7 linked regions of the Cricetulus griseus genome follow. The protein of the gene in region 5 purifies or fractionates together with the protein of the main gene of each other region. This does not show direct contact. Links are inferred from orthologs where the notes say so. Each region holds a gene or a part of one and is shown on either strand. Other genes may lie near its edges. The genes, in order: Sf3b5, Sf3b4, Srrm2, Cdc40, Snrpa1, Sf3a2 and U2surp.

The links.
Region 1: the proteins of Snrpa1 (region 5) and Sf3b5 purify together in Homo sapiens (affinity purification with mass spectrometry; 5 studies listed by BioGRID and IntAct, counting the BioPlex papers as one, with this or other methods). This does not show direct contact. The link is inferred for Cricetulus griseus from reciprocal best matches to the Homo sapiens genes SNRPA1 and SF3B5.
Region 2: the proteins of Snrpa1 (region 5) and Sf3b4 purify together in Homo sapiens (affinity purification with mass spectrometry; 3 studies listed by BioGRID and IntAct, counting the BioPlex papers as one, with this or other methods). This does not show direct contact. The link is inferred for Cricetulus griseus from reciprocal best matches to the Homo sapiens genes SNRPA1 and SF3B4.
Region 3: the proteins of Snrpa1 (region 5) and Srrm2 fractionate together in Homo sapiens (co-fractionation; 3 studies listed by BioGRID, with this or other methods). This does not show direct contact. The link is inferred for Cricetulus griseus from reciprocal best matches to the Homo sapiens genes SNRPA1 and SRRM2.
Region 4: the proteins of Snrpa1 (region 5) and Cdc40 purify together in Homo sapiens (affinity purification with mass spectrometry; 3 studies listed by BioGRID and IntAct, counting the BioPlex papers as one, with this or other methods). This does not show direct contact. The link is inferred for Cricetulus griseus from reciprocal best matches to the Homo sapiens genes SNRPA1 and CDC40.
Region 6: the proteins of Snrpa1 (region 5) and Sf3a2 purify together in Homo sapiens (affinity purification with mass spectrometry; 8 studies listed by BioGRID and IntAct, counting the BioPlex papers as one, with this or other methods). This does not show direct contact. The link is inferred for Cricetulus griseus from reciprocal best matches to the Homo sapiens genes SNRPA1 and SF3A2.
Region 7: the proteins of Snrpa1 (region 5) and U2surp purify together in Homo sapiens (affinity purification with mass spectrometry; 5 studies listed by BioGRID and IntAct, with this or other methods). This does not show direct contact. The link is inferred for Cricetulus griseus from reciprocal best matches to the Homo sapiens genes SNRPA1 and U2SURP.

The regions. Positions count from the first base shown.
Region 1 is NC_048595.1:275,868,220-275,871,190, reverse strand, and holds Sf3b5 (splicing factor 3B subunit 5), read left to right. Parts: upstream 1-1,585; 5' UTR 1,586-1,734; coding exon 1,735-1,995; 3' UTR 1,996-2,279; downstream 2,280-2,971. UniProt on the Homo sapiens protein: Component of the 17S U2 SnRNP complex of the spliceosome, a large ribonucleoprotein complex that removes introns from transcribed pre-mRNAs.
Region 2 is NW_023276806.1:60,350,746-60,355,358, forward strand, and holds the start of Sf3b4 (splicing factor 3B subunit 4), read right to left. Parts: upstream 2,951-4,613; 5' UTR 2,827-2,950; coding exon 2,793-2,826; intron 2,408-2,792; coding exon 2,279-2,407; intron 2,032-2,278; coding exon 1,489-2,031; intron 1,242-1,488; coding exon 1,035-1,241; intron 1-1,034. UniProt on the Homo sapiens protein: Component of the 17S U2 SnRNP complex of the spliceosome, a large ribonucleoprotein complex that removes introns from transcribed pre-mRNAs.
Region 3 is NC_048600.1:43,336,670-43,339,590, reverse strand, and holds part of Srrm2 (serine/arginine repetitive matrix protein 2), read right to left. Parts: coding exon 1,936-2,921; intron 1,211-1,935; coding exon 923-1,210; intron 1-922. UniProt on the Homo sapiens protein: Required for pre-mRNA splicing as component of the spliceosome. As a component of the minor spliceosome, involved in the splicing of U12-type introns in pre-mRNAs.
Region 4 is NC_048595.1:263,392,800-263,397,312, forward strand, and holds the start of Cdc40 (pre-mRNA-processing factor 17), read right to left. Parts: upstream 3,119-4,513; 5' UTR 2,889-3,118; coding exon 2,700-2,888; intron 1-2,699. UniProt on the Homo sapiens protein: Required for pre-mRNA splicing as component of the activated spliceosome. Plays an important role in embryonic brain development; this function does not require proline isomerization.
Region 5 is NC_048596.1:131,213,425-131,217,907, forward strand, and holds the start of Snrpa1 (U2 small nuclear ribonucleoprotein A'), read right to left. Parts: upstream 3,248-4,483; 5' UTR 3,171-3,247; coding exon 3,089-3,170; intron 1,303-3,088; coding exon 1,155-1,302; intron 1-1,154. UniProt on the Homo sapiens protein: Involved in pre-mRNA splicing as component of the spliceosome. Associated with sn-RNP U2, where it contributes to the binding of stem loop IV of U2 snRNA.
Region 6 is NC_048598.1:101,584,175-101,588,279, reverse strand, and holds the end of Sf3a2 (splicing factor 3A subunit 2), read right to left. Parts: coding exon 4,059-4,105; intron 3,947-4,058; coding exon 3,875-3,946; intron 2,972-3,874; coding exon 2,925-2,971; intron 2,712-2,924; coding exon 2,602-2,711; intron 2,110-2,601; coding exon 2,060-2,109; intron 1,987-2,059; coding exon 1,846-1,986; intron 1,755-1,845; coding exon 1,686-1,754; intron 1,603-1,685; coding exon 760-1,602; 3' UTR 648-759; downstream 1-647. Other genes in the region: Amh (muellerian-inhibiting factor), read right to left, coding at 1-318. UniProt on the Homo sapiens protein: Component of the 17S U2 SnRNP complex of the spliceosome, a large ribonucleoprotein complex that removes introns from transcribed pre-mRNAs.
Region 7 is NC_048597.1:204,121,563-204,125,585, reverse strand, and holds part of U2surp (U2 snRNP-associated SURP motif-containing protein), read left to right. Parts: intron 1-693; coding exon 694-792; intron 793-3,190; coding exon 3,191-3,305; intron 3,306-3,740; coding exon 3,741-3,874; intron 3,875-4,023.

The sequences.
Region 1 (2,971 bases), on a different chromosome or scaffold from region 5:
TTGCTATGGCAGCGCCAACAAGGGATACCTTGACACTTAATGGTTTCATGTGAATGTGGCTTCTTCCTGGGGGCTTTGGAATCCAGGGATTACCTCACATTCTTAAGTCCTTTTTATTCTTATACTTATTTATGTTTATTTATCTATTTTTGTTTTTGGTTTTTCGAGGCAGGGTTTCTGGCTGTTCTGGAACTCACTTTGTAGACCTCTTCAGACCTCAATCTCATAGAGATCCACCTGCCTGGGCCTCCTGAGCGCTGGGATTAAAGGTGTGTGCCACCACTGCCTGAGGCATTCTTAATGGCACTGGAATTGCACTAATTTTTGATTTATTTCTTACTAACAGAATTTTCATGCAGATTCTACTTGTCTTAGTTGAAGTTTCTCTTGCTGTGACAGAACACTATAATTAAAAGCAACTCAGGGATGAAAGATTTATTTCATTTACTCTTCCGTATCACAGTTCATCATCTAAGGTAGGCAGGGCAGGAACCTGAAGGCAGGAGCCAATGCAGAGGCCATGGAGGGGTGCTGCTTAATGGCTTACTCTTCGTGGCTTTCTCAGTCTGTTTTCTTATTCAATTCAGGACTACCAGCCCAGGGGTGTCCCCACTGTAATAGGTTGGGCCCTCCCCTATTATCAGTCTCTTTGACTGAGATTGCTCTTTGTCCATTCATCAGATTTTTCTTTTAAAGAATACGATCTCCATCAAGCTATATAATATCCTCAAAGGATATCAGAAAAGAAGTACAGTATCTTTTTCTCAAGTAGTTTATACCTTTGTGAGGAGATACATAACCTCTAAGTTGAACATAAGGTGTAACCAGGCAGAAAAACAGAAGGAGAGAGTACTTGTCTTGAGACACAACTGACTTCCAGAAAATGATTGTAAGCAGCCTTAAAGTTAGGAGGTTGTTTGGTTGGAGGGCTCGGGCCCCTGGGTGGTGTGAGGAGTTGGAGCCTGGATTTTGATGTGGAAGACACCTGGTGTTGACACTCATCACCAAGCATTTAGGACCCAAAGAACTTTTCCCACTACCCAGATCCTAAGGGACAAAGCTGGGACCAAGGGCGGTCCGTGTGAGCTTCTAGGTACAAGAGATAGTTTTCCTGGTCACTTGTAGTCGTAATCGTTGGACACCATCCTACATTAGTCAGGCAAAAAAAAAAAAGAAGAAAAAAAAGGAAGGAAGGAAGGAAGGAAAGGAGGGAGGGAGGGAGGAGAAAGAAAGAAAGAAAGAAAGAAAGAAAGAAAGAAAGAAAGAAAGAAAGAAAGAAAGAAAGAAAGAAAGAAAGAAAGAAAGAAAGAAAGAAAGAAAGAAAGAGAGAGAGAGAGAGAAAGAAAAAGAAAACAAAAAACCAAACCAAAAGAAAAAAACACGCCAAATTCTTTGGACTACAAATCCCAGAATGCAACGCCGGAGTTAGAACGTGATCACCCAAGAGCCACTCAGCAGACCATCATGCAACGCTCTCCAAGTAGGCGGGCTCGCTGAGGGGACGGCCCAATGTTTCTTAGGCAACTCCAATGCCGCGGCAGGATTCACTTCCGCTTCCGCCTGGGAGAAGAGCGTCTGCGCAGGCGCCACAGTGGCGTCTTTCTCCCGCGCCTACACAGATAGAAGTTCCGTGTCGGGCCGGCAGCGGCGGCGGCGGCGTCTCTCAGGTTTGAACGCGGAGCGGGTAGCGTCGGGTCTGCGGCCTGATCTGGAAGCCTAGAGCGGAGCGGCGAGATGACGGACCGGTACACCATCCACAGCCAGCTGGAGCATCTGCAGTCCAAGTACATCGGTACGGGCCACGCCGACACCACCAAGTGGGAATGGCTTGTGAACCAGCACCGGGACTCCTACTGCTCCTACATGGGTCACTTCGACCTCCTCAACTACTTCGCCATCGCCGAGAACGAGAGCAAGGCCCGCGTGCGCTTCAACCTGATGGAGAAGATGCTGCAGCCCAGCGGGCCGCCGGCGGACAAGCCCGAGGAGAACTGAGGCGAGCGCTTCCCAGGCTCCCCCGCCGGCCAGCGGTGGGCCGGTCCTCCTTGCTCGGGCTTCTTCATCGTCTGTCACGCCTGGCCTGCTTACCTGTGGACGATTCCGAACAAGTCACCGAGAGACTGTCGGGACCCCCGGGAACTGTGCGGGAGGAGCGACCCTAGACCCGGCAAGCGAGGGAGAAGACGCCACGGGAGTGATGACGCGTTTCTAATGAGTCTGCCTTTCAGTAGTTGGTTGTCCTTCTTGCCATGTTTATAAAGTTTAGGATTTGTCCTATCTTTTGGTGTGGATTGCTGTGTTCCTTGGGTGGGGTCTGGGGAGGGTGCTGTGGACCAAGGTCTCAAGATGTTGCACGTTGCATCTGTTTTTCTTGAGAGTTAGTCTGTGTGTCTTCAGAAATGAAGAACGGATTTTTTTTTTTCATTCAGTGTTCACCAGAGCGTTTTCCAAAGGTTTGGGGGCATACATTATGCCAATTTGGAGAAAGGCTAAAATAGACCAGGGCTAGATGATGCAGGGAGATTGAGGAAGCTTGAAGAATTCGCAATTTTAAATACTATGCTTGTAATGCTAAGATATTGCGATGATGACATTTGAGAAAAGATTTTACGGAATCCAGAGAAAAACCGTGCAGAGCATGGGAAGTTGCTTACCATCTAATAGGGCATTCGTTGGTGTGTTTTAAGTTACTGAAGGAACACCAAAAAAGCAATGAGTCGCTGGGAGTGGCACACACCTCTAATCCCAGCACCCAGGAGGCAGAGGCTGAAGGATTTCTTGAGTTCAAGATCACATGAAAAAACCGGTAAGAGCCATTCACTGAGCGTTGTGGTACACGCCTTTAATCCTAGCACTCCAGTACTCTGTAGGCAGAGGCAGGGGATCTTGAGTTTGAGGCCAGTCTGCAGGTGGAGTTTCAGGACTGCCAGGGCTACACAGAGAAATCCTGTCTGGCTGCCTGCACCCCCCC
Region 2 (4,613 bases), on a different chromosome or scaffold from region 5:
AGATCAAAGACAGAGAAAATTAGAGTCAAAGAGATAGGAGATTACCACAGTCAGTATATGTACAACAGAGTAAGGTGCTGGTTTGTGGCAACTGGCAGAAACATGTGTTAAACTTGCAAGTGGATGACAGTATACAAACTCCCAGAGTTGTGAACTTAGCTGCTACAAACAAGGGCTGTAGAAGGAGATGCTGGAAGGAGAAAAGTGAACTGTGGGTTGAGCAGCAGCCTTGTCTAGCCTGTCAAGAACCATGGACTAGAGACAGAAGGAATCAGTACCTGCACATTTAACACTACAAATAAACACTGGAAGAAGAACAAAGCACAAAATCTACACAGACAAAAAAGGGGGCTGACCCAGGTTGCTGAGGTTGATAAGTCACATAGAGGAAACAGTTTAATACATGCATAGCTCGTCATGTGTATAGTAGTGGTTAAGAAGCAGAAACAGGCCAGGCGTTGGTGGTGCACGCCTTTAATCCCAGCACTCGGGAGGCAAAGGCAGGAGGATCTCTGTGAGCTCGAGGCCAGCCTGGTCTACAGAGCCAGTGCCAGGATAGGCTCCAAAACTACACAGAGAAACCCTGTCTCGAAAAACAAAAACAAAAAGCAGAAACGGCTGCCCAGTGGTAGTGCCACCTTTAAACCCAGCACTTGGGAGACAGAGGCAGGCAGATCTCTGAGTTCAGGGCCAGCCTGGTCTACAGAATGAGTTGCAGGACAGTCAGGATCCTACACAGAGAGACCTTATCCCTAAAACAAAACAACAACAAAAAAAAATAAGCAAAAATGTCGCCTAGATCTGGCAACTGAGCTCCTTCCTGGGAATCAGAGGAGAGGCTGAGAGTAAAAACAGTAAGAACAGGCTATTCTGCAGAAAAAGGAAAAACCAGAGACAAGACGGGAGGGAGCTGAAGTACACACAGAAGTATTTTCTGAAGGAAAGGGAGACTCTAGACTATTTCCACCCAAGACAAAGAGCAGTGACAGAATCACTCTCACAAGCTCATCTCCGTTTCCCAGCAGACCACTTACCTGGATGGGGCATCCCACCTGGTGGGAATGGGTGAGGATGTGAGTGTCCGTGACCAGGATGCCCAGCTCCTGGAGTTCCTGCTGCTGGGGGGCCATGTCCTCCAGCCCCAGGTGGCATAGGTGGTGGGGGCATGGCTGGGGGTATCCCAGGAGGGAGGGCTCCAGGTGGCGGCACTGGAGGTGGGAAGGAGCCAGGAGGAGGCATGCCTATACAAGAAACGAGAGTCTATCTTGTGAAGAAAGAAAGACTGTCTTACAGAGCTCTAGCTTCCTTCCAGCACACTAAACTCCAGTCTCCCAAAGAAACCCAACATCTGCATCCCTTCCACCAGCACTCCTCATCCCTTTCTCGCTGCCCGCTGAGTTAACAGCTTACTCCCTCAGGGTTTCTTCTGCCTTCTGACCCTCCCTCCCAAGGGCCTCTCACTGGTGTAGTTTGAACTAAAAGCTTTACCTGGTGGAGGAAGCCCAGAACCCAGGGATGAAACCACAGGATTGGGGGCAGAGGGTGGAGGGGGTGCATCTGCGAACAGCTGGTGAGGACGGTCAGCCTGGGACAGCGGGTTCTGGGCTGCCAGAAGTCGTTCAGCTGCTGAGCCATGGCGCTCGCCTTTAGAGTCCTTCTTGAAGGCGTAAGACACAGTGATGGGTCTGTTACACAGGTACTGCCCATTCATGGCCTCAATTGCTGCATCCGAAGCATCAAAGGAGGCAAAATTAATGAAGGCATAACCCTTAGAGTTGCCTGTGTCAGGGTCCCGCATAATCTTGGGGGTTTGTAAGATGACCCCAAAGGCGCTGAAAGTATCATAAAGCAGCTTCTCATCGATTTCTGGGTCCAGGTTCCCAATGAAAATGTTGGCCCCTACATCCAGGTTTTTGTTGTGAGCTGAAGCCTTGTTCACCCGTATGGGCTTCCCATAGAGTTTGATCATGTTCATAATTTTAATAGCATAGTCAGCATCTTCCTCACTCAAGAATTCAACGAAGCCATAGCCTGGGGAATTGAAGAAAAGACTACTCAGATGAAGAGATTCAAAACGACACACTAACTCACCAGCCTCCAAACAAAGAACAAGTTGGAAGAATCCCAACTTCAAACTAAAGCTAAGAGACTACTCCTGAAACAAACTGCCAACTGAAGCTTAGAGAAAGAAACCATTCCAAAATAGCTGTGACTAGTGTTGAGATGCTTCAGGGGCCGCTAACCCAAAGTAAAGTCATTTCTTGCCGTAAATACTCACCTTGGTGCTGGCCAGTGACTCTATCCTTTGGCATGTGGGTGTTGACCACCGGCCCTGCCTGGAGAAAGAGCTCCCACAGCAGTGGTTCGCTCACTTTCTCGTCTAGACCGCCCACGTACACCGTGGCATCTAAAGCAAGAAAGCAGAAGGTAAGGACGAGGTCACGAGTTAAAAGGAAAACAGAAATTTAAAAAAAAAGTAACTAAAACCCTGAGATCACCCTTTGCCTGCCTAGTATAAAAAAACCCGCTCAAGTCTAATGTGGCGTTCTTGCGGATTGTGTACTTCCCGGTGGAGTTTCAATGATGCGCTTGGTAGCAGCGGGAGTGCCTACGGGAACCGGATCCAGAGGCATCACCCTCACAGGCCTCGGCCTCAACCCGGCCCCCAGGCCCAGCCCCCAGACGCGGGCCTTCCCGGGGAAACCTAGTTTCCCACGCTGGCGCTAACGCTTCTAGCACTCATCTGCCCTCCACCTCCCTGGGCCCACCTTGGGCTCTTCTCCCCCAATTACCCTGATTCCGTTCGGAGATGGGCCCGGCAGCCATGGCGAAGAGGCTCCCGCCGTCTCTAAGCGGCAGCACCGCCCTCTGACCTGTTACGACTTCCACTTCCGGGCCAAGGCTCCCATTGGGCGGGGCGGGCGGCAGGGGAGGAGCCGGAAGTGGCCGCGGCCATCTTAGGCGTCTGACGCGTGTCTGGAAAGACGCTGTGGTGGAGCTCTCACGACGCCCGGCTGGCGCCGAGGCGCTCAGGCCCCTCTTGACGACGCGGCTCTCGCCTGTCAGGCAGTCCCGCTGCTCCCCAGCCCAAATTTAAGCCCTAATCTCAGCCTTGTATGTTCTGTGACGCAGAGAAGCGTGCTGGGGGGAGGGAGGGGCGGGCCGGCTGCCTCGGGACGCAGCCTGTTACCTCAGTGCAGACGGAAGTGTCTGAGCCCCACTATTCGTGGGGTCATCTGAGGCACGGTGCCGCGTGTGTTCACGGTCAGTCTCAGCCTCGGGAGCACTCGGCAGCACCGTGCATCCCTCCCCTCCCACAGAAGAGACACTCAGAGAGCCTTCCTCCCGGGCCAGGACAGCCAGGGCTACACAGAGAAACCCTGTCTCAAAAAAAAAAAAAAAAAAAAAAAAAGGGGTTGGTGCTTCTTTCTCCAAATTTCGTCGGAATAGCCCCTCCTGTTTTGGGTCCTTAACTTCTTTTTTATCTATTTGTTTTGTTTCTCGAGACAGGGTTTCCCTGTGGCTTTGGAGGCTGTCCTGGAACTCGCTCTTGTAGACCAGGCTGGCCTCGAACTGGGTCCTTAATTTCTGTATCAATAATCTGGGTGCTTTTCTCTCAGTGCATACCCTCCCCCAACCACTTTACCGAGATCTTCATTCAACACAAGAAACAATACCAGCAATGTGTAGAAATACTGTGCTTTAATGAAGTCCTTAAATAGAAATACCACTACAAAAATATACAGTGGGAGGACAGGGTGTCTCCCTTATTTCCCTCATTCCCACAGAAGACTAAGAAACTGGATTTCAAAGCAGTGTGAGGGGTTGAGAATGAAGTCTCTGGGGCATCTTGTTGGAACTGATGAAGTGTCTCTGATCTCACAGTTTTGACAGTTTGTCATCTAAACGGCATGGAATTGCCAGAGAAAAAAAGGAAACGTTCTGAAGTGGTTTTGTTTCTTATTCCAGAGAAACAAAAATAGCTGGAGGTTGGTAGCTCCATGTCTGCTACAGAAACTCACTCACGGAGTGAGCTCCTTTATGGGCTGGAATGTGAAAGCTTGAAACACTGAGGTCAGATACAAAGAAACATGAGCAGAACTCCCTCCACATTCCCTCTGCCCTGCCTTCGAGAATGCTAGCAGTCTCAACGGATCTGAGAGAGGATGGTATTTGGATCTCTCTTCTTGCAGTGATCCTCAGGAGATATTCTTGGTGTCAGTTTTCTTAATAGTTCCTGAAGACAAGAGAGTTCATCCTGGAGGCCAGAGATTGTAAGAGCCGAGGAGCCCATCTGGGGAGGGGAAAACAAGGGCACAAAGGTCTCTCTCTCTTTCTTCCTCCACCCCTGCCCCCTTTCTCCTGGCTCCCTGTCTCTCTCTCTCTCTCTCTCTCTCTCTCTCTCTCTCTCTCTCTCTCTCTCTCTCTCTCTCTCTCATTTTGTTCTTTCAAGACAGGGTTTCTCTGTGCAGCTGTCCTGGAACTCACTTTGTAGGCCAGGCTGACTTCAAACTCACAAGAGATCCACAGCCTCTGCTTCCCAAGTGCTGAGATTAGAGCATGCACCACCATCTCCCAGAGAGCTTTCTTGCCTTTTTTTTTTTTTTTCTCCA
Region 3 (2,921 bases), on a different chromosome or scaffold from region 5:
CCCAGTGGACAGGGCACAGGGTGCAGCGGGGGATGCAAAGATAAAATTTGAGTCCCTGCCCTTGGAGTTTTGTTTGGTAGTGAAGGAGGTCAACAATGAAGGCACACATGCCCCCTACATAGGAAACAGGCCAGTGGGGATGGATATGCATGGGCCTGGGAATCCCGAGCAAGGATGGGGACCTGGGCAGGGCAGGGAAATGGCAAGGCAGTCTTCTCGGAGGTGCTGTTTGAGTGCAGTCTTGCAGAACGAGTTCACCAGGCAGACAAGGAAATCCCAGGCAGAAGGAACAGCATGTCCAAAGGCATGGGGCTCTCCTTAGACTGCAAGGCGCTGGGTATGGCTGGAGCACAGGGCATGTGTGGGGGCGGGCAGGAGGAGCACAGGGTGGGCAAGGGCAGCTGGTGAAGAGCCTCACACGCCATTCCCGCAGAGGTGGCACTTTATCCTGCAGGCCACAGGGCGTCCCGGAAGGATTTGTGGAGTGAAGGGAAGTAACCAGATGTGCGTTTTAGAAAGATCCCTCTGGCTACGTGTGGAAGAGAATGGCGTGGAGGCAGGGAGACAGGGAGGAGGCTGTGGACAGAGTCGGGAGAAGATGACGGTGGCCAGACCAGAGCCCTGCAGCAGCAATGGGGAGACTTAGAGCTAGAATCTCTGAGACCAGGCTGCTTGTCAGGGGAGGGGAGAGGGAAGAAGAATCCTATAACTTCCCAGTTCTGGCCTGGACCCTCAGTTGAATAGTGCAGCCTTGACCAGAACACAACAACACTGTGGGAGGATGGGAGGAGTGTCGGACTCCTCCCGTACAACCAGACGCAGACTTCCACACTAGGCACCCCAGCAGGAACCTCACCCAGGGTCCCTTTTCTGGAGAGCTCACCCCCAACCCCCTTTCCATAACAGGCAAGGAAGCACTCACCTCCTCTCGCCAGGGGGTGGCTTCTTGGGGCTTGCAGGTTTGGGTAAGGCCTGAGGGCCAGGCTTAGCAGGGGAAGGGGAGGAGGAAGAGGAGGAAGAAGAGGAAGAGGAGGAAGAAGAGGAAGAGGAGGAAGAGGAAGAAGAGGAGGAGGATGAAGAGGAAGAAGAGGAGGAGGAAGAGGAGCTGGAACTAGAGCTGCTAGAGCGCCTCTTCCGTTTGGCTGGGGTTGGCTCCTGAGGACGTCCTTCTCGAACAGCCTCCTTTGGGGCTGGGACGGGGCTGGGGACCCTGTGAGAGAAGAAAAGTGTCACAAGGAGACAAGAGGCCCCAGCCCCAACCCTACCTTCCTTGGCCTGGAGGAACGGCAGTGGGGGAGGGGTGCCTGAGAAAGGCCCTGGGAACACACGAAGGCAGGCCAGTAAGCACTTCTCTGCAGCAGTGGCACAGAGCTGACCAAACCTCTGCTAACACAAGCAACAGGCTGGGGCCCGAAGCACAAGGGATCAAGGTTAAACCTCAAGAATGTCCCTGATGAAGGAATAAGGCCCCTGGACTCAGATGTGGAAGCTGAAGCTGGGTGGTCTCCTTCCTTGGAGAGCCGCAGCTTGGGAAGGCCCCTGTGAGTGCAGGTTGGCTGGGGAGGGGCCGTCCTGCCTGGAGGCAGGGAGAGGGATGGGATGACCTCTGAAGATCCTTCCAGCCCAGGGAGTTCCTCTTGAGGTCTAACTGCCATCCCTCCTGCTGTAAAATTAAGTCCATTTCCTCTAGTTCTGTCCTCTGTAGAGATGGAAAACTTATCATTATCCTCTGGAGAATTAACCTTCGGAGACTGTTATCTGTCCCATTCCTCCCCACAAAGCCCCCACCCCAGCAGTCTTTCTACTCCCAACTTGAAGGTCAAGGTCCCCCACACTTTTTCAAAATGTCAAGTACTTGTGACAAGATTTCTCCCTCCCTCCCAACTCCCCCACCCATTGTAAATACCTTCCCCCTAGATTCCTTAACTCCCTCACCTTTTCAGTGCCACCTCAGGTTGAGCAGGAAGGCTGGAGCCCTCAGAGTCGCTAGAACTGGAGCCAGAGGAAGAGGATGATGATGATGATGAAGATGAGGAGGAGGAGGAGCTAGATGATGATGAAGAGGAGGAAGAGCTCCGACGTTCCTTTGTTGGTTGCAGAGCAGCCAGTGAAGAAGGCTGCTGGGCCCCAGTAGAGGCTGGTGGTTCCCCACCTTCAGCATGGGGCAGCCCTGGGGCAGGGCCAGAAAGCATGCCATTGTGGTCACTAGCAGAGGATGTGGACTTTGCTACAGTCCCAGATGAAAGGGACTGAGACCCAGCTACAGGAGTGGTCTGGGCAATTGAACGAGATTGGTCTGAAAAAGCAGATGGCACAGGGGACCGAGGCCTATCCTGTGCTGGAGGGAGAAGAGATTGTGAAGGAGCCTGGACCATTCTTGAAGCAGGGGAAGAAGCCCGCTCAGAGGTCATTCTAGACTGGCTGGGGGCAGATGGTGGTGTTCTGGACCTGGCTCGGTCAAGCAATAAAGGTGAGGTTCTGCCACTGACACGCTCATAAGCAGAAAGGGGCACCCTGGGACTGGTGAGATTTGCACCAGACAATGCTGGAGCCATCCTGGCACTGGAGAGATTTGAGGGAGCCAAGGCTGCAGGGGTTCTAGAGCCAGCAATATTCACAGGAGCTGTGCCATGTGCAGATCGAGGACCCACCAGGTTTGCAGGAGTAGGAGCCTGGGGTGTTCTGGAACTGGAGGGATAATTTGCAGCAGCCGGGGGTGTCCCAGAGCCTGTGAGACTCAAAGCTGCCAGTGCAGCTGGTGTTCTAGCTCCTGCTAGGTTCACAGCTGTGGCTGCAGGGGCTCGAGGATCAGCAAGGTTCACAGCTGAAGGAGCTACTGCTGTTCTAGGGCTGGCTAAGTTCATGGCTGCTGCTGCAGCTGGTGTTCTCGAGTCAGCAAGGTTCACTGATGCTGGAATAGC
Region 4 (4,513 bases), on a different chromosome or scaffold from region 5:
AATTTGATAAACATTACTCAGTTACAGCACGAAAGGTACCCATTACCATAAGTAATGGCTGAAAAAGTCAATTCCTAGAGAAATAAGGTACTGTGGAAGCTGCACTAAGGAAAATAGAGAGGAAGAAACTAATTTGAAAAACAAAACCCTAATGAAGCAGAAGTATCAGATGAACAACTAACTGGCTCCAGGCACTGAGGAAAGAAAAATAATGAGCTTCTGTTTCATGGCTTGGGCCATGGATCAAAAACAAAATGGGAATACAAAAGTGGACTCTGAAGAAAGAAACTGAAGTTTTCAGTGCACTATACAAAAGGGGCCTAAGAACCATCCTGGATGAGTTTTTTTTTTTGGGGAGGGGGGGTTGAGACAGGGTTTCTCTGTGGCTTAAGAGGCTGTTCTGGAACTCACTCTGTAGACCAGGCTGGCCTTGAACTCACAGTGATCTGCCTGCCTCTGCCCCGCAAGTGCTAGGATTAAAGGCGTGTGCCACTACCACCCGGAGAGATTTTTTTTTTTTTTATTAATACTTAAGCTGGCAAGGAGTTTAGGACAGTTTATCAGGGTAGTTGGCATTTAATCAGCATGTATTATTTGATACAGTTAAAACTGCTTCGAATTTCTGAAAATAAGTAGCTAAACCTATTTGAAAGATGAATAAGAACTGGCTTAGCTCTTAAGTAATATATCCAAGTGGCCATGTGTGTAGTGCTAGAGGTAGATCTGAATAACACTGGAATCTTGACTCATTTCATGCCTATGTTAACTTCTTCACAGTAGTCACCTCTGAGGGGATGGAACTTGAAATAAGGGCCTAGACCTAGGAGGCACTAAAGCTGAAGGGGCTGGCAGAAGATGAGGGAATCCAGAGGCTGCAGAATACTCAGTGGAAGCTGCAGGGAAAAAATGAATTGAGATAGAGAAATTCTTTTTTTTTTTTTTTTGATTTTTGTTTGTTTGTTTTTTTCCAAGACAGGAAAATATATGTGAAAAATATATGTGAAAAAAAAAATCTCTGTGGCTTTGGAGGCTGTCCTGGAACTAGCTCTTGTAGACCAGGCTGGTCTCGAACTCACAGTGATCCACCTTCCTCTGCCTCCCAAATGCTAGGATTAAAGGTATATGCCATCAATGCCTTTAACAATGTTATTTGATGCAGAGATTCAAGTCAGATGGAAGGACCAATTAATGCAAGGCCTAAGACATCATTCCCATGAAGTTGTTAATCAAGAAGCTAAGGCTAGACTGCACTGAGCTTGGGGGGGGGGGGGCTGTGACAAAGATGGGAAGAATGCAGAACCAAAAGCTTAGTTTTCTACGGAACAGACTGAGGAGGCTAGTGAGATGTCCTCAGTTGGGAGAGCTTTGTTTTGTTCTAAAGATAGAATTCCCAGCATTCTTTCATGCCAGATGTCCTTATTTAAAAAAAAAAAAAAGTTTCATAAATGGCCCGTCAAAACTTGTGAAAGACTTAAGACACAAACAAGACCTCCCTCGCTCCTCCCATCTTCCGAGGGAAGTTTTGTACAGATTCCTCTCCACATTTTGAACACCCACATGGAGCTAACTACTGATTGACGATGCTCTCACTGAGTTTAAGACATCAGCCCCAGACACACCAAATCTCTGCCTTCCTAGGTTTGCAAGTCACCTAAGCTTGCAAACTCTTGCCTTAGTTTACAGGGCTTCGATTTCTTTGAACTGACTTTTTATCTCCCCTCAGAGAGGATCTGAGCATTCTACAAAAATCACACTGCTACCTTCTTCTTTATTTTTCCTTCCTGAAACAGGGTTTCTCTGTGTAGCTTTATCCTGGAACTGGCTCTGTAGACCAGGCTGGCCTTGAACTCACAGAGATCTGTCTGCCTCTGTCTCCTGAGTGCTGGGAGGCTTGCACCACCACCATCCTGCCTTACCTTATTCTTTACCATGGTTATTTCCCCCTCCCAGTGTTCAATCCAATCTGTAACTACATTTTTGTCCACATCTAATTGATTCCAGTATGCACTAATGCTCCCAGTATGTTCGGTTTTGTTGGCCTCTGTGGCTTTCAGTCCTGTTGTTTCTGGAAAATGATACGTGCTTAATAAAGAACTACATAGCTGGGTTTTTTCCTTTATCACCTTCCTTCATTGGGTCCATGCATGCTACTTCTTAAAGCTTATGCCCCTTTCCCACTCGTTGTATTAACATATACAATCACAAATAGCTAGCATGTATTGCCCTCTTACTAGATTATTAGGCTCTGTGTTATATAAACTTTACTATATAATTTCACTTAATCTTTACAATAACCCCCCGGTATAGGTAAGTTTTTAAACAACTATCTCCATTATACAAGAGGAAGTTGTATAATTTGCAAGTAGTGAAGCCAGGATTCGAGACTAGTTTCTTAAAAACAAAACAGTGCCTGGCCACGGCTCGCTTCTGGTGAGGGCACAAATTCTAGTTAGGAAGTCCTGATGCGCTTTTAGCTATGTTCTAAACTTCTGCTCTAATAAGACTACGTCCTAGCCTAGAATTCAAACTTTCTTCCCCTCTTGGACCACTTTTATGCGATGGAGACAGCAGAGGGGTAGTGGAGGAAGATGTGGGACGACGCGTAAACGCTAGTAATTTACTTCTCAGCACCTCACCGGAGACGAGCGGTTTGGGATCTGAAACCAATTCCCGCACCCATCAGTGACCAAAACACTTACCTTAACCGCCACCTCCGGAGCCGAATCTACCGCCACTGTCAGAGAGGGCTTGGCTGAAGGCGATTTGGTCAGGTGCATGAGAGAGTCGGCGGCTGGCAGCGGACACCGACTGCCCTCACTGTCCGAGTCCGATTCGGACCCTGAACCCGAGCCATACGAAGCAGCTAGAGCTGCAATCGCAGCGGACATGACTGCAACAGATCCTCTCTGCTGTGGTCAGGCCAGGGCGGAAGAAGCAGCGACTCCCAGGTCCTGACAGATTGCCAAGGAACACTTTATTTACCTTCTTTAACAAAAAATCATTTATAACTTCCTGAAAAAAATATAATGATTATTACTCTGACTGCATCAGTATCTGAGACTCGCAAACATTAATCTAGATAAGCACAAGGAATTACAACTACTTATAACTTTCAGGACCTCGTTGATTAAAGCCCCACAGTTCTGAGATACCTTTGAAGCCTCGAGGTCCTCCACTCCCGGCGTGCAGAGCGGTGGGAAGCGCGAGGCACCATGGGAATTGTAGTTTGGAGGGAGGAGGCGGAGCCGGGCTGAGGGGTCGGCCTTCGACCCCGCCCCCAAAGGATGGTTCATTCAATTGGATATCATCTTCCCTCATTCCCTAGCCCAGCATCGTTCTCTGCGGCCCCCTCCCCCAAAGTGCGGATTGGGCAATACCACGGAGCCTCAGGACAGGGGGAAGCTCCGTCCTCTTGCCCACGGACGAGTACGTGAGCGGAGGCTGAGTCTCCCGCCCTGCGACCCTACGCCCTGCGGGACTCAAGGGGACAGTGCGAATCTTCAGTTCGGAGACCTGGGGCCCGCCTGGCGCAGCTCCGGGGGAAGGTTGTGGGGCGAGGCGGAGAGCGCCCCGCGGCTCCCCCTGCTGCAGGCGCGGGTCCCCGCGCCCGGTTGTGGAGCGTCGCGCGGGGAGGGGGCGGCGCAGGGCAGCGGCGGCTCGCGGTGTTGTTCGCTCGCGCGTCGCGCGCACCGCGGCTCGGGCCATCAGTGGCGCCCCCGGCGGCATTCCCGGCGGCCCGGCGCCCCAGCCAGTGCCCGGCGCGGCTTCCACCCCGCGGCCCGGCGCTCCCGAGGGGCTCTCGGTGAAGTCCCAGCGCGGAGCGGGACCGGCGACCGCCGCCGAAGCATGAAGAAGGGGTAAGGCGCGAGCCCCCCACGGTTTCTCGGTGAGCACGAGTCTGTCAGGATTTTGTCCCCTTTCTTCCCCGGGTCCTGGCAGGGGAACTGCTCTCCATCGGCCGGAGCCGAGAGGGGCGTGTGTGGGAGCCCGGGTCTGCGGCCGCGGCGGCGGCGATGATGGGCGCGCCGCCCGCCCCCGCCCCCATCCCGGGCTCCCCCGCGCCCGCCGCCTAGCAGCCCGGGCTGCGCGTGGAGGACGAGGGCGCGGGTCTCGGCTGTGGGGACCAGCCCGAGGCTGCTCCGGGTGCAGCGGCGGCGGCGGCGGCGGCTCTCACCTGCGGTGCCGTGCGGTCCGGGGCGCGCGGCTCCCACCCCGCCGCCGCTTCGCCCTCGTGCCTCGGCGCCGGCCAAGGCTGCAGCCCACCGCGGAGCCCCGGCTCGCCCTGTGTGCCTGCCGCTCTGAAAAGCGAGCTCTGGCCGCGCGTCTTCGCGCCGCGGCTCCCCGTGCACGACAGCGGTAAAGCGGTAAAGCGAGTGCGGGTATCCCTTTATTTTCCCGTGTGGAAGAGAAGCGGTTGCCGTCTCTTCTGATGCCTGGGAATCGGGAGGTTCCTCGGGCAGAGTTAGGGAGATGCTCGCCGGGCTCTGATGTCGGCAGGACTCGCCCATTGTGC
Region 5 (4,483 bases):
CACCACTCAGTGCTTTGATGTGTATAGGTGTTTTGCCTGCACTTATGTCTGCATACTGATTGTGTGCTTGGTGCCTGTAGAAGCCAGAAAAGGGCCTTGAATTCCCTGGAACTAGAATTGTGAACTGCCACACTGGTCTGGGAAGGAGAAGAACCCACTTCATCTGAACTGGAAAAGGAGCCGCCAGTAGGCTTAACCACTGAGCCATGACTCCAGCCCCTAGAAACTTTCCTTAATAAAAGCTATGTCTTCAGCAATTCCGGTCCCCTGACAATAATTCCCACAAGAGGCACTGACCCTAACAGAAACACCAGTACCAGGTACGAGAAACCTTCCTTAATAACTATATTAATTCAATTTTTATATGAAGCTGATAAACAGCCAGGTGGTAGTGCACATATTCAATTCCAGCACTTGGCAAGGAGAGGGAGGAGGATCTCTGTGAGTTCAAGGCCAGCCTGGTCTACCAAGTGAGTTCCAAGACAGGCTCCAAAGTTACACAGAGAAAAACCTGTCTTGAAAAACAAACAAACAAAAAGGATGTTATTGAGACAGGGTCTCACTCTGTAGCATCAGTTGTAACTTGCTGTGGAGACAAGGCTGGACTGCCTCAGCCTTCCAACTGTTAGGATTAAAGGTGGGCACCACTACACCTGACTTTTATAAATCATTTTTATTATGATGCTGTTGGTAATTGCTCTAGAATCTGAAATGTATACAGAGCAACATGTTTTAAATTTAAATTCAAAGTTTAGTATCAACTACGAATACTAAAGATCTCTGAAGATAGCAAGTAAGGTCAGACCAATGCCCACGTTAGTCTCCCAATCTCTTAGAAAAAGTGCTCGATTCATTCCTCCCTTTAAGAAGAGACATGGAGAGGCTGGAGCACTGGCTGCTCTTCCGGAGGACCCAGATTCTATTCCTAGTACCCACATGAGAGCTCACAACTGTCTGTAATTCCAGCTCCAGGGAACTCACACCCTCTTCTGGCCTCCAAAGGCACCACAATGGTATACAGATAGTGCAGACACACTTGCAGGCCAAACACTAATATACATAAAATGAAAACTAAAAACAAATCATGTCTTTCTTCAGGGTACATTGTAACATCTTTTCAAGGTAGAAAAGTATTCTCACTAGCAGACACTCACCAAATTCTGTTGTTGTTCACTAATAATGTTTTCAGTCTTCTCAATAAAGGAAAACCATCCAGTTTCCTGATCTCATTATCAGAAAAATCAATAGCATCAAACTGGTCTAAGGTAGCACCTAAATTTTCAATGACAGGGATTTTATATCCTGTAGAGGGGAAAAATACATACAGCAAATATTAATATAAATGAAAGGTCCTGAAAACAGTAGGAGCATCTGATTGTAATTAGACTCAAAGTACTCATTCAAGAAGTATTAAACCGGCACGGGTGCCATGTCACACTCTGTACAAAAATACTGAAGATAAGTGACAAATGAGTTACAGGGTCCTTACTGCCTCGAAGCGTGTGGTCATGCAGTAAACTTGAAGAGGAGGTTGAAGGCAAGAACAAGAACACAGGCGTATACTTAGTAATATTGGTGTCCACTGTTTATGAGAACATCTACAAGGTATTTACACTGTTCAAAGTTCTTAAGAGTGTCAGGCTCTATGTCAAGTTAACACTGCTTACTGTTAATGCTCAAGTCTTGCTGGGACACTGGTGACCAGCCTTCTAAACCATTCACATAACTCAGCAGTATATCCTCATGCTATCCTGACTCACTCTCTTCTCCACCAGCTCCAATTCAGAGCTGAAAATGGTGTCTATACAACCACAAACCACACTGTGAACATCCCCTTGATTGTCTAATGGGCATAACCATCGAGCTAGGTGCCAAAGGAAGAAGAGAAACTTAGTACACAACTTTCACTCAGTTGTGAAAGAGCGCAATAAAATAAGCTTTATCAAGACTGCATGGTCTTCAGAGATGCAGCAGAGACCAAAACTGTGTGCCAAGACAGTAAAAGGGTTCAGATACCTCTGAAATGGACTTTTGTCTGAGAAAGCTAATGTCTAACAAAAGCACTAGGATTTTCTATAGGTCAGCAAGGCATTTTAGCAAATGGCAGAGTATAGTCCCCGAGACTGTGGTTGCCTCATGACACAGTTATATAATCCTAACCCCTTTCAAAGCCATCTCCTGAAAAGTAGATAACTGCACTTTCAATGCTATATTTTGTTATTATTGTCATTTTCTTGTTTTATTCGACACAGGAGACTAGGCTGGCCTCGAACTCAGAGATCCGCCTGCCACTGCCTTCCGAGTGCCGGGCGTGTGCCACCGCTGCCCAGCTAATGCTGTGTTTTGTTTTTGTTTTTTTAAACCAAGCTCTACTCAACAGGTTAGTGTTCACCACCCCTCACATGGGAGTGATGACTATAAGCCTTGGTCAAACAGATCAAGCTAGAAAACACCTTCTTATAAAAGTGAATTATCAGGGGCTGGGGACCTGGTTCTGTGGGGCGAGTGCTTGTTTATCAAGAACAAAATCCTGGGTTCATCCGCAGCACCATATAAACATGGGGCACACGTTTAAACCCAGCGCCGGGAAGTGGAGGCAAGAGGGCCGGAAGTTCGAGAACGTCCCTAACTACACAGCGGTTTGAAGCCAGCTCTGAGTACAGGAGACCCTGTCTCAAAAAACAAATGAGCAGACCCAAAATGGAATTATTGTATAATTAAGATAACTTTGACTTATATCTAATCTACCCTCACGTGTCATATTAACGCATTTGCTAAAAACCAGCCGGTCGCGGTCCGGAAGATACCATTTTCTATTTTCCTGGCCCTCAAACAGTTCAGGCTGCTGAGCATGCCGGGCAAAGCCTAACGAATACGGACCCGGGAAGGAACGGAGAAGCCGTGTCTGTTAGCGGGAGCGGGTAACAGACGGCTCCAAAGGGTCCTGAGGGACCGGCGATCGGAGGAGGTACCCTAAACCCGGGCGGGAGGCCCCCGGGCCAGGCTCCGGCCTCCGCGCACGCGGCGGGGCCCGCTCCTCCCGGCCTCGCGCCGAGCCCGGACACAGCCCGCGATCCCCCTAACTCACCGCGAAGATCCAGCTCGCGGTCCCGCACAGCATTGGTGTACTGCGCCGCCTGCTCGATCAGCTCCGCCGTCAGCTTCACCATCCTGCCGCCGCCGAGTCCCCTCACCTCGGCCACCGGCCTGCGCCTCCCGCCAGTGCCGTGTCCCAGGGTGCACCGCGCCGCGCTGCCAGACAAAACCAATCGGAGCGGCGCTCACCTCGACCACCAGGCTAAAGCAATCGATCGAAGGCACCGCCGGGCGTTGCGATCGTCGTCTTTGCTTCTTGGTTCTTCTTGGCTGGTGCGTTCCTGGAGTGTGGCGAGCCCAGATTCCAGATATTTGTGTCCAAAAGATAAGAACACGAGAGAGGCACTCTCACTTCAGTGAACCTCGAGGCTGGGGTATTTGGGATTGTCCAACAGGGGGCGGACACTCCGCCAAAGCTTCAGGGATTCAGGTTTCTAAGATTTGCGGTCCAGCAGAGACAAGGCTGGGCCATTCGGCTGGACTGCCTTAAGATGGGCAACATCCGAGCTAGTATGGTCACCTTAAAGCCTCAGGGTGGACTTGCGGCGTCTAGACATTTAAGTATTGATGTCGAGGGGCTAGCCAGAGAGATGGCATAGAGGTTAGGGGCACTTGCTGCTTTTGCAAAAGACTTTTGCAAAAGGAGTCTCATTTCAGTACCCAGTTGTGCACCTCACAACTGCTTGTAACTACAGCCCCAGGGATTCGTCGCCCATTTCTAACCTCCTCGGACACCGGCAATCGCAAACATAAAAATAAAATAAAGCTTAAATGATATTCATATTGTAAACTGGGCGTGGCGGGGAACGCCTTTAATCCCAGCATTTGGGAGGCCAGATCTGTGAGATGAGACCAGGTCATTCTGATCTACAGAGCGAGTTCCAGGGCTATGCAGAGAAAACCCGGCTTGAAAAAAACCAACAACAGCAACAAAATTCATATGAAGAGCAGGGGCGTACACACATCAGAAACCTGACATTTGATGAATGCCAACAGAGTGAACACACACACCTGCAGAGCCTTGGCCTCTGTCCCCAAAGACGGCCAGGAACCCAATTCTACGAATTAGTGCGCTTATTTTTTATCTTAGCTTATTAATTAGTGTATATGCCACTTGTTTGTGGGTGCCAGGGGAGGCTTATGGCCTGAGATTCCCTGGAACTAGCTGTTGTAATCCTGTGGACATGTGTATTACAGGCTGAACTCCAGTCCTCTGCAAAAGCAGAAAAGCATTCTTTAAATCTTTTTTTAAAATTACCTGTGTGGTTTTGTGCACATGGGTGAAGATACCCACAGACTTCAGAGATGCTAAATTCTCTGAGATTGGAGTTACAGGTGGTTGCTGGAAATGAACTCAGGTCCTCTGAAAGAGCTGTAATGGCTAAGT
Region 6 (4,105 bases), on a different chromosome or scaffold from region 5:
AGGACTGCAGACTCCGAAGGTGGCCAGGTCTTGGGGTCCCCAGTGAGACTCCTGTACAGCCTCCAGGAAGGAATGCTCATAACTGTCCAGGCCCCCTACCACCCTTAGCGGGGCTCTGCTTGTGTTCCTCAAGCCTCTCAGTGTCACCAGGCACAAGGGCTCTGGGGGACTGCTGAGAGGCCAGATCCCATCTTCAAAGAAGATGAGGCCCCTGGTGCTGGTGGCTCTTTTGAGGTCTTCTTTGAGGGTCTTGGCCTGTAACACAGTGCCCATGGTCACCAGCAGCAGCACTAGTGGAGAGAGGGGTGGTCCCTGCATGGTAGAGCAACAAGGGCTGGGAGGCCCTGCTTATATGTTTGGCTGAGCCAGAGTGCTTGGGAGGGACACCCCTATCAACTCCGGAGGTGGAGGTGACCTTGGGGGACAGTGCCTGGTGCCCTGTGTGCACAGCAGGTGGGAGGTGGCTTTCTCAAAGGGTTTTCTGTCCTCACAGCCAGGCCCACAACTGCAGAGGCTAGAACTGTCCTTGGGTAGTTCCCATCTGCCTAGGGAGTCCACCTGGAGGACTCACAGGTCATCATGCCTTCAATGAAGGCACACAGCACCCGCCCATACCCCCCACCACAGACACACACTGCAGACAGGGAGACATGGGGGAGGCTGTTTAATGGGCTCAGGACAGGACAAAACAGAAAACTTTTCCAAGGACTGGCCAGGAAAAGGCCACACACAGGCAGCAAGGGATGCTGGGGCCAGTGTTCAGTTGCCTGGGGGAGGAGGAGGCATGCTCCCAGGGCCATCTGATGGGAGTGGGGGCCTTAGCATGGGGGGCATAGGAGCTGGGTGCACACCAGGATTTGAGGGGTGAACCCCTGGAGGCTGAGGGTGGACCACAGGGGTGGCAGGATGGACCCCAGGAGGAGGCTGGGGATGCACCCCAGGAGCCTGAGGGTGGATACCAGGAGCTGGGGGGTGCACCCCAGGGGCCTGAGGGTGAACTGCAGGAGTAGGTGGATGTACTCCTGGAGCCTGAGGATGAACTCCAGCTGATGGGGGAGGGTGGACCCCTGGAGCTGGTGGGTGCACACCTGGAGCTGGTGGGTGCACACCTGGAGCTGGTGGGTGCACACCTGGGGCTGGTGGGTGCACTCCAGGGGCTGGTGGGTGCACCCCAGGGGCTGGAGGGTGCACCCCAGGGGCTGGTGGGTGCACTCCAGGGGCTGGTGGGTGCACCCCAGGGGCTGGTGGGTGCACCCCAGATGTTTGTGGGTGTACCCCAGGGGCTGAGGGGTGTACCCCAGGGGCTGGAGGATGGACCCCAGATGTGGGTGGATGGACTACTGGGGCTGGTGGATGGACCCCAGGAGCTGGTGGAGGCATCTGGGGAGGTCCAGGGGGCCCAGCGGGAGTAGGCCCTGTGGGGGGCATAGGGGGCAAAGGCAGGCCACCAGGCGGAGGTGGGGGCAAGGCATCCGGCAGTGGAGGGCGAGGAGGCAGGCCATTCATGAGTGGGGGTGGGGGCCGCTTGACGCCTGGGGGTCCAGCTGGGAGACTGGGTGGGGCCGGTGGCTTTTCCATTTTAAAGTGGAACTGAAGAAAAAACTGCAGGGGAGGAGGGTCAGAGGCTGGAGGAGCAGGGGGGGTGGGGGTAGGGGAGTACCCAGGCAAGTCTTGCCACACCTTACCTGCTTGGTCTCTCGGTTCCAGTGGGTCCAGAATTTGCCCTCAGCCTTGTCAATCTCCCGGCTTGGCACCTGGGGGAGGGAAGCAGAGGCTGCACCCTGGGACCAATACAAACAGACAAACCTGAATTTATCTTTCTCCTCCAGTCCTCAGGGTCACTACCTTGAAGGCAATGGTCTCATAGGGCTCAGCAGCCATGAGTAGGTACTGCCAGCGGCGGTCTGGGGGCTCTATCCTCTGCTCATAGGCAGACATGAAGCGGTGGCGTGGCATGATGCCCTCAGCAATCTCAGGATAGTCAATCTGGGGGACGAGCACAAAAACCTTAGCACTACCACCTGGTTGCCTGGCCCACCCCTCACTGGCCTCACCTCACCTGGAACAGCAGGCTCTGCTGGCCCATCTCTGTGTCCCTCTGCTTAGTCACTGCAACACACAGGGGACGGGGCTGTCATGTGTCATGGGTGCTTACCAGAACAGGTTTCCCCTTACCAGGCCTGGCCGCTCTGCTCCTTGGCCACCTAGCTAGGATCCAAGTGAGGGCAACCCACCCAGCACTGTATGTAGGGACAGTGTGGACAGCCCTCTGCAACACTATGTCACAGCTTTCCAGTACCCTGACTGTCAATGGTGACTCTTGGGGCACTTGGCTCCCTGTTGGCCACATGACTGGCATTTTGGATAGGCCAGGTCACTCAAGGCCCCTGCTGAGGGGCTCTGGGAGCACTGACTGCAGACAACCTGCCTCCCTTTCCTCTTCTGGAAGTTTCTAGTGGGGGATGGGTGCTTATCTGCCAACAGTCGGTTGCTGAGGACAGAGGAAGCAGCAGCTGAGTGTCCTAGAGACCAGTGTATCCTGGGTCAGGGATACAACCATTTGTCTCGTGGGCAGGCCGCCACACACCCACACCCACACACCTTTGTAGCCAGGGCGGCCAATCTTCACAAACTTCTTCACCTCCACCTTGACCTTCTCGGGTGCTGGCTGTGCAGGGGCTTCCTTGGCCTCCTTGGCAGCTCGCCGAGCCCTACAAACAGGAAACACAGGTGTCCCTCTACCAGCCGCCAAGGCCAAGAGCCCAGTTGTCAGAACCCCCTGGCCTTGGAACTCACGGACAGGATGAGGGCTCAGCCCTGGAGTATACCAACCAGTCTCCCCGACTGTCCTTGCTCCTTAGCCATAAGCTCTGCAGTGGGCCTTTCCCTCCCTCCCCACCAAGCCACACCAAGTGAGGGCTCACAAGTTAGTCTGATGTTTCTTCCCTTGGGTGTGAGCCAGGTAGCTCCCCTGCAAAGAGAAAAGAGACACATCACTAAAGGTGGGGAGGGCAGGACAGGCAGGGCAACTCTTAACAGCGTCCAGCATGGGAGCCTGCAGGGGATGCACAATGTCTGTGGCTACACTGAGGAGACATGCATGATACTCTCTTTGCCTCCCTGAGAAGTTCTATGGTCAGGACCAGCATACACACCGAAGGTCTATAGTGCTGGGGAGCTCCCAACAAGGGGTGGGAGGCCTAGGCTACAACTCCTGGGCATCCTGCCCAGCTGTGTCAACCTGACTCCATTGTCAACAAAGTCAAATGCATCCCATTTACTGCTGATTGGTCTGGTCATCCAGTGAGAGGGTAGGGAGGTAACTTCCTGGATTAAGAATGAACCCCAGACGGGCATTGGTGGCACACGCCTTTAATCCCAGCACTCGGGGGGGCAGAGGCAGGCGGATCTCTGTGAGTTCGAGACCAGCCTGGTCTACAAGAGCTAGTTCCAGGACAGCCTCCAAAGCCACAGAGAAACCCTGTCTCGAGGAAAAAAAAAAAAAAGAACCCCAGAGAAAAAGAACCAGTTACATCCCTTCCCTGTGGCTGGTAGGCACCCATCACTTGTCTGTGGGGCATTCGCAGATCAAACAGCTGGCTCTTGTCTTGACATCAAGGCCAGTAAAAGAAAAGGGCAAAAGGATTAGCTGGTCTCCAGGCCACCTTCAGTGCAGGGTCAGGCAGGAGGCAGAGCAAGAGGGCCAGGAGGTCCTGGCCTCATAAGAGCTATACAGAGACTGTCTCAAGAACTGGACAGAGATATAGTCTAGCCCAGTGGCTGTTTACCCAGCATAGCTGATTAAAAAAAAGAATTCAACTGAAGCAGACCAACCCCAAGGAAGCCCTCAGCTCTGGGGACAGGGGTCACGCACCTCATTGTTATGCAGTGTCAGGCAAAGTTTGCATTCATACGATCCCAGATGGTTCTTCATGAAATATGGGTCCTTGGAGGGAACATATGTACCCATTAGATCGCAGAGCCTGGCCCCATGAACCTGGGTCTGTAGGTGTGGGGACACTGCTCCCTCCACACCCCTACTGTAGGTACCCCCCCACCTTGTTGATGTCAATGGTTTCTAAGGCCAGCTGTCGCAGGCGTTCCC
Region 7 (4,023 bases), on a different chromosome or scaffold from region 5:
TCTTTTATGTTACATTTGTTTATGAACTGTAAAGCTGTGTGTTACTTTGCCTGCCTAAAATACCTGCTTGGTCTAATAAAGAGCTGAACAGCCAGTAGCTAGGCTCTCTGGCAGGGCAGAGAGAATAAATAGGAGAAATCTAGGGAAGAAGATCCAGGAGTGAGAAGAGGAGGAGGAGAGGATGCCAGGGGCCAGTCATGGTGTAAGAAGGAAGGAAAGATGTATAGAATAAATAAAGGTAAAAAGTCCAGAGGCAAAACGTAGTTAAAGAGAAATGGGATAATCTAAGTTAGAAAAACTGGCTAGAAACAGGCTAAGCTAAGGCTGGGCATTCATTAGTAAGAAAAAGTCTCTGTGCATTTATTTGGGAGCTGAATGGCAGGCCCCCAAAGAGTAAAGAAACCAACTACACCTTGGTTTGTGTTTCTTTTTTATTTTAACCCCTCTTCCCTGTAAAAAAGCCTTTTGCCTGTTACTGACTTTGAGTTAGGAAATAAAGAGCATTCCTCATTGAGTGGGTATGTACCTCAAAACCATAGTCTGCTTGGAGTAACCCCAGCTTTTGTTTGCATTTGGTACTTTAAAACAGTAACTCTTCTAAAGACTTGGCTATAAATTAACATATTTTAAATTTATAAGTAACATTAAAATATGTATGTAAAGACAAAATAATCTTTTTGTTTCTTTTTACAGCCTCTTCTAGAAAACAAGCTTAAAGCATTCAGCATTGGAAAAATGAGCACAGCGAAGCGAACTTTAAGTAAGAAGGAGCAAGAGGAACTAAAGAAAAAGGTAATGTTTAAGTATATTTTAGGTTATGCTTTGAAATGAATGTGTAAGCAGTAGAGACCATGTTTCTGAAGAATTTGACTTCTTACGTGTTTGCAACTCCACGTCTGAGTCAAGTCTTTAACATAAGGAAGCTTCTCTTCCTTTCCCCTGATCTATAGCTCTATGTGATGATCAGTTATTTTGTCAAAGTGTGTGTGTTTGTGTGTGCATGTACTCTACTGTACCCTTTTCCTTTTTATCTTCCTTTTTAGATGGATGATAGTATGCTATAGAGTAAGAGTACTTTCCTCCATTTACTCTTTTTAACCAAATGTTATATCTTTATGAGTACTTGTAGGATAGAGAAATCCTACATTTTTATAGCTTTGTAGGTTTGTAATAGTTTGTTCATTTAAAATCCTATTGAGGGCCGGACGTTGGTGGCACACGCCTTTAATCCCAGCAGAGGGAGGTGGATCTCTGTGAGTTGAGACCAGCCTGGTCTCTCCAGAGCGAGTGCCAGGATAGGCTCCAAAGCTACACAGAGAAACCCTGTCTGGAAAAACAAAAACAAACAAACAAAAAATCCTATTGAGGGATTTTTGGTTTTGCTCTTCGGACATTATGTTACAAATGCTTTTTATGAATATGTGCATTTTTTTTTCCTAGTTTGCCTTTGGGGACATATTCCTGAAAGGGGAGATAGTTGGAGTGAATACTAATAAAAGTGATGACCCCACCCCCATACACGTGCATGTAGTGAATCTTGCTGAAGGAATCTTTGCCAATTTGTAGTATGAAAAATAATACCTCAGTGTAGTTTTGAATTTGCAGATCTTTCAGTGGGAATACAGTTGAGTACCTCGCTCCCCTGCTTTATTTCTTTTTATTTTTCTTTTGGTTTTATTCTTGTAAAAATTATTGTTATACTCAGTGCTCAGTCTTTCCCCATGATTTCTTGCCTTTTCTTTTCTTTTTTCTTTCTTTTTTTCTTTTCCATTTCTGGCTTATAGAAGGATTTTCCTCTAGGATCTGCATTCTTAGAAGAATCCCAATGAATTCCTAGAATTGTTTCCATTTTTAAGAAAATTTAATCTTCATGCAGTTTTTCCTGGCATATAATACAAATAATTGATGTCATTTTATCTCTTTTCAAGTAGTTTTTTATGTCAGTTTCATTTATGGGAAAGTTTGTGTATCTCCCTCTGACACTAGATACTCCTTTTATTGGATGTATTTCTTTTCTAATTGTTCCATTTTCCTGTTTGATTTGGGTTTTTGAGGTAGAGTCTCTTTATGTAGCTCAGGCTGGTCTGGAACTCTGTCTTCCTGCCTTCATTTCTGAAGTGATAGACATGTGCCATCATTCTCAGCTTGGTATTCTTACTCATATATTTTGGGGACGTTTAGATGATGTATAGTTGAGAATGCCAGTTTTTTTAGCTTTTTTTTTTTTTTTTTAATGCCATGTTAGAAATAGGTACTGTAGTTTTGCTTCTATTGTATCTTTGGCTTTGGCTATTTGAGAATGAAATTTTTATTTATGATGAATTAAGTCATAGTGCCTTGGAGAACAACTTTTTTTTTTTAAATTTATTTATTTATCATGTATACAGTGCATGCCAGAAGAGGGCACCAGATCCCATTACAGACGGTTGTGAGCCACCATGTGGTTGTTGGGAATTGAACTCAGGACCTCTGGAAAAACAGTCAGTCCTCTTAACCTCTGAGCCATCATCTCTCCAGCCCCTTGGAGAACTTCTTAAATAGTAATAGACTACTATATTTTCATACAGTCATTTGTCTTACAGTTTGGCTCTTGAATTGTTTTGAAATGATTTACTTGTTTACCCATATGTTGTAAATTATTTTCTGCGTCTTTAAATTTCTAATAAAGGAGAAAATGCTTTTTGTTTTAATTATTTAGCATATGATTATTGGTAATGTCTAATGTCTACCAAGTAGTAGATATTAGAATAACTTGGGAAGGAAGAAGCTTTGTGTATACAATTTCTTTTCTTTTTTTCTTTTTTATGTGTATGGATGTTTTGCCTGTCTGTATGTGTTTGTGACCTCTGTATACCTGGTCCCAGAGAGGTCAAAAGAGGGAGTTGATCCCCAAGGACCCAGGTTACAGATGGTTGTGAGCTGCCATGTGGATGCTGGGACCTGGATCCTCATGAAGAAGAGCCAGCTCTTAGCTGCTGAGCTGTCTCTCTGCATAGAGGCATTTGTCTTTATTCCCACCATTTGGTAGGCGGAAGTAGGCAGATTTCTCTGTGCAAGGCTAGTGTAGTCTACATAGTGAATTCAGGTCTGCCTGGGCTACATAGTGAAATCCTGTCTCAAAAAACAAAAACAAGTCAAGCCATACCTACATAGCATTTCTCACGTCACTAATCTTTCGTTATGTATTTAGGAGGATGAAAAGGCAGCTGCTGAAATTTATGAGGAATTTCTTGCTGCTTTTGAAGGAAGTGATGGTAATAAAGTGAAAACATTTGTTCGAGGCGGGGTTGTTAATGCAGCTAAAGGTAAGTGCAGAAATATGGATTTGAACAAACCTTGGATGACGCAGCAACACGTTAATTATGGAAGACATTTGACTTTGAGCTTCACATTTCTTTTCTATTAGCTCCCTCTAGTGGTTAGACTGAGTAGCAAAATAAATGACCAAATATGGAGTAATGAAGAGACATTGAATGTGATTTTCAGGACTGTATGAAGGAGTTAATAAGAAAAATACTTAGTACCAAGCTTTTAAAAAAAAGCAGATTATGTTGCAGAAATTTTAATGTTACATAGTTTTGCTATATAGTGATTGAATTGTGACTTTTTAGGGTTGAGTGGTAATAATTAAATTTAATTTTATATCCAAATCTTAATACTAAAACTGTCTTCTTAAATAGAAATAACAAAAACCAAAATTATATGAAGTTAGTTTTACAACTTAGTATTTTAAATTTCAGATGAACATGAAACAGATGAAAAAAGAGGTAAAATCTATAAGCCATCTTCAAGATTTGCAGATCAAAAAAATCCTCCAAATCAGTCGTCCAATGAAAGGCCACCCTCTCTTCTTGTGATTGAAACGAAAAAACCTGTAAGTAATTATTAAATAATTGAGTGTTTATTTTAGAAGCTAGTATTGACATTAGTACTTTGAGTGTACCCTTACAAGAAATTTTTTATGGTTTATAAGTCTTGGAGTAGGTGTTGAGTTTTGACGTTGTCTAACTCAGTAATTCATGT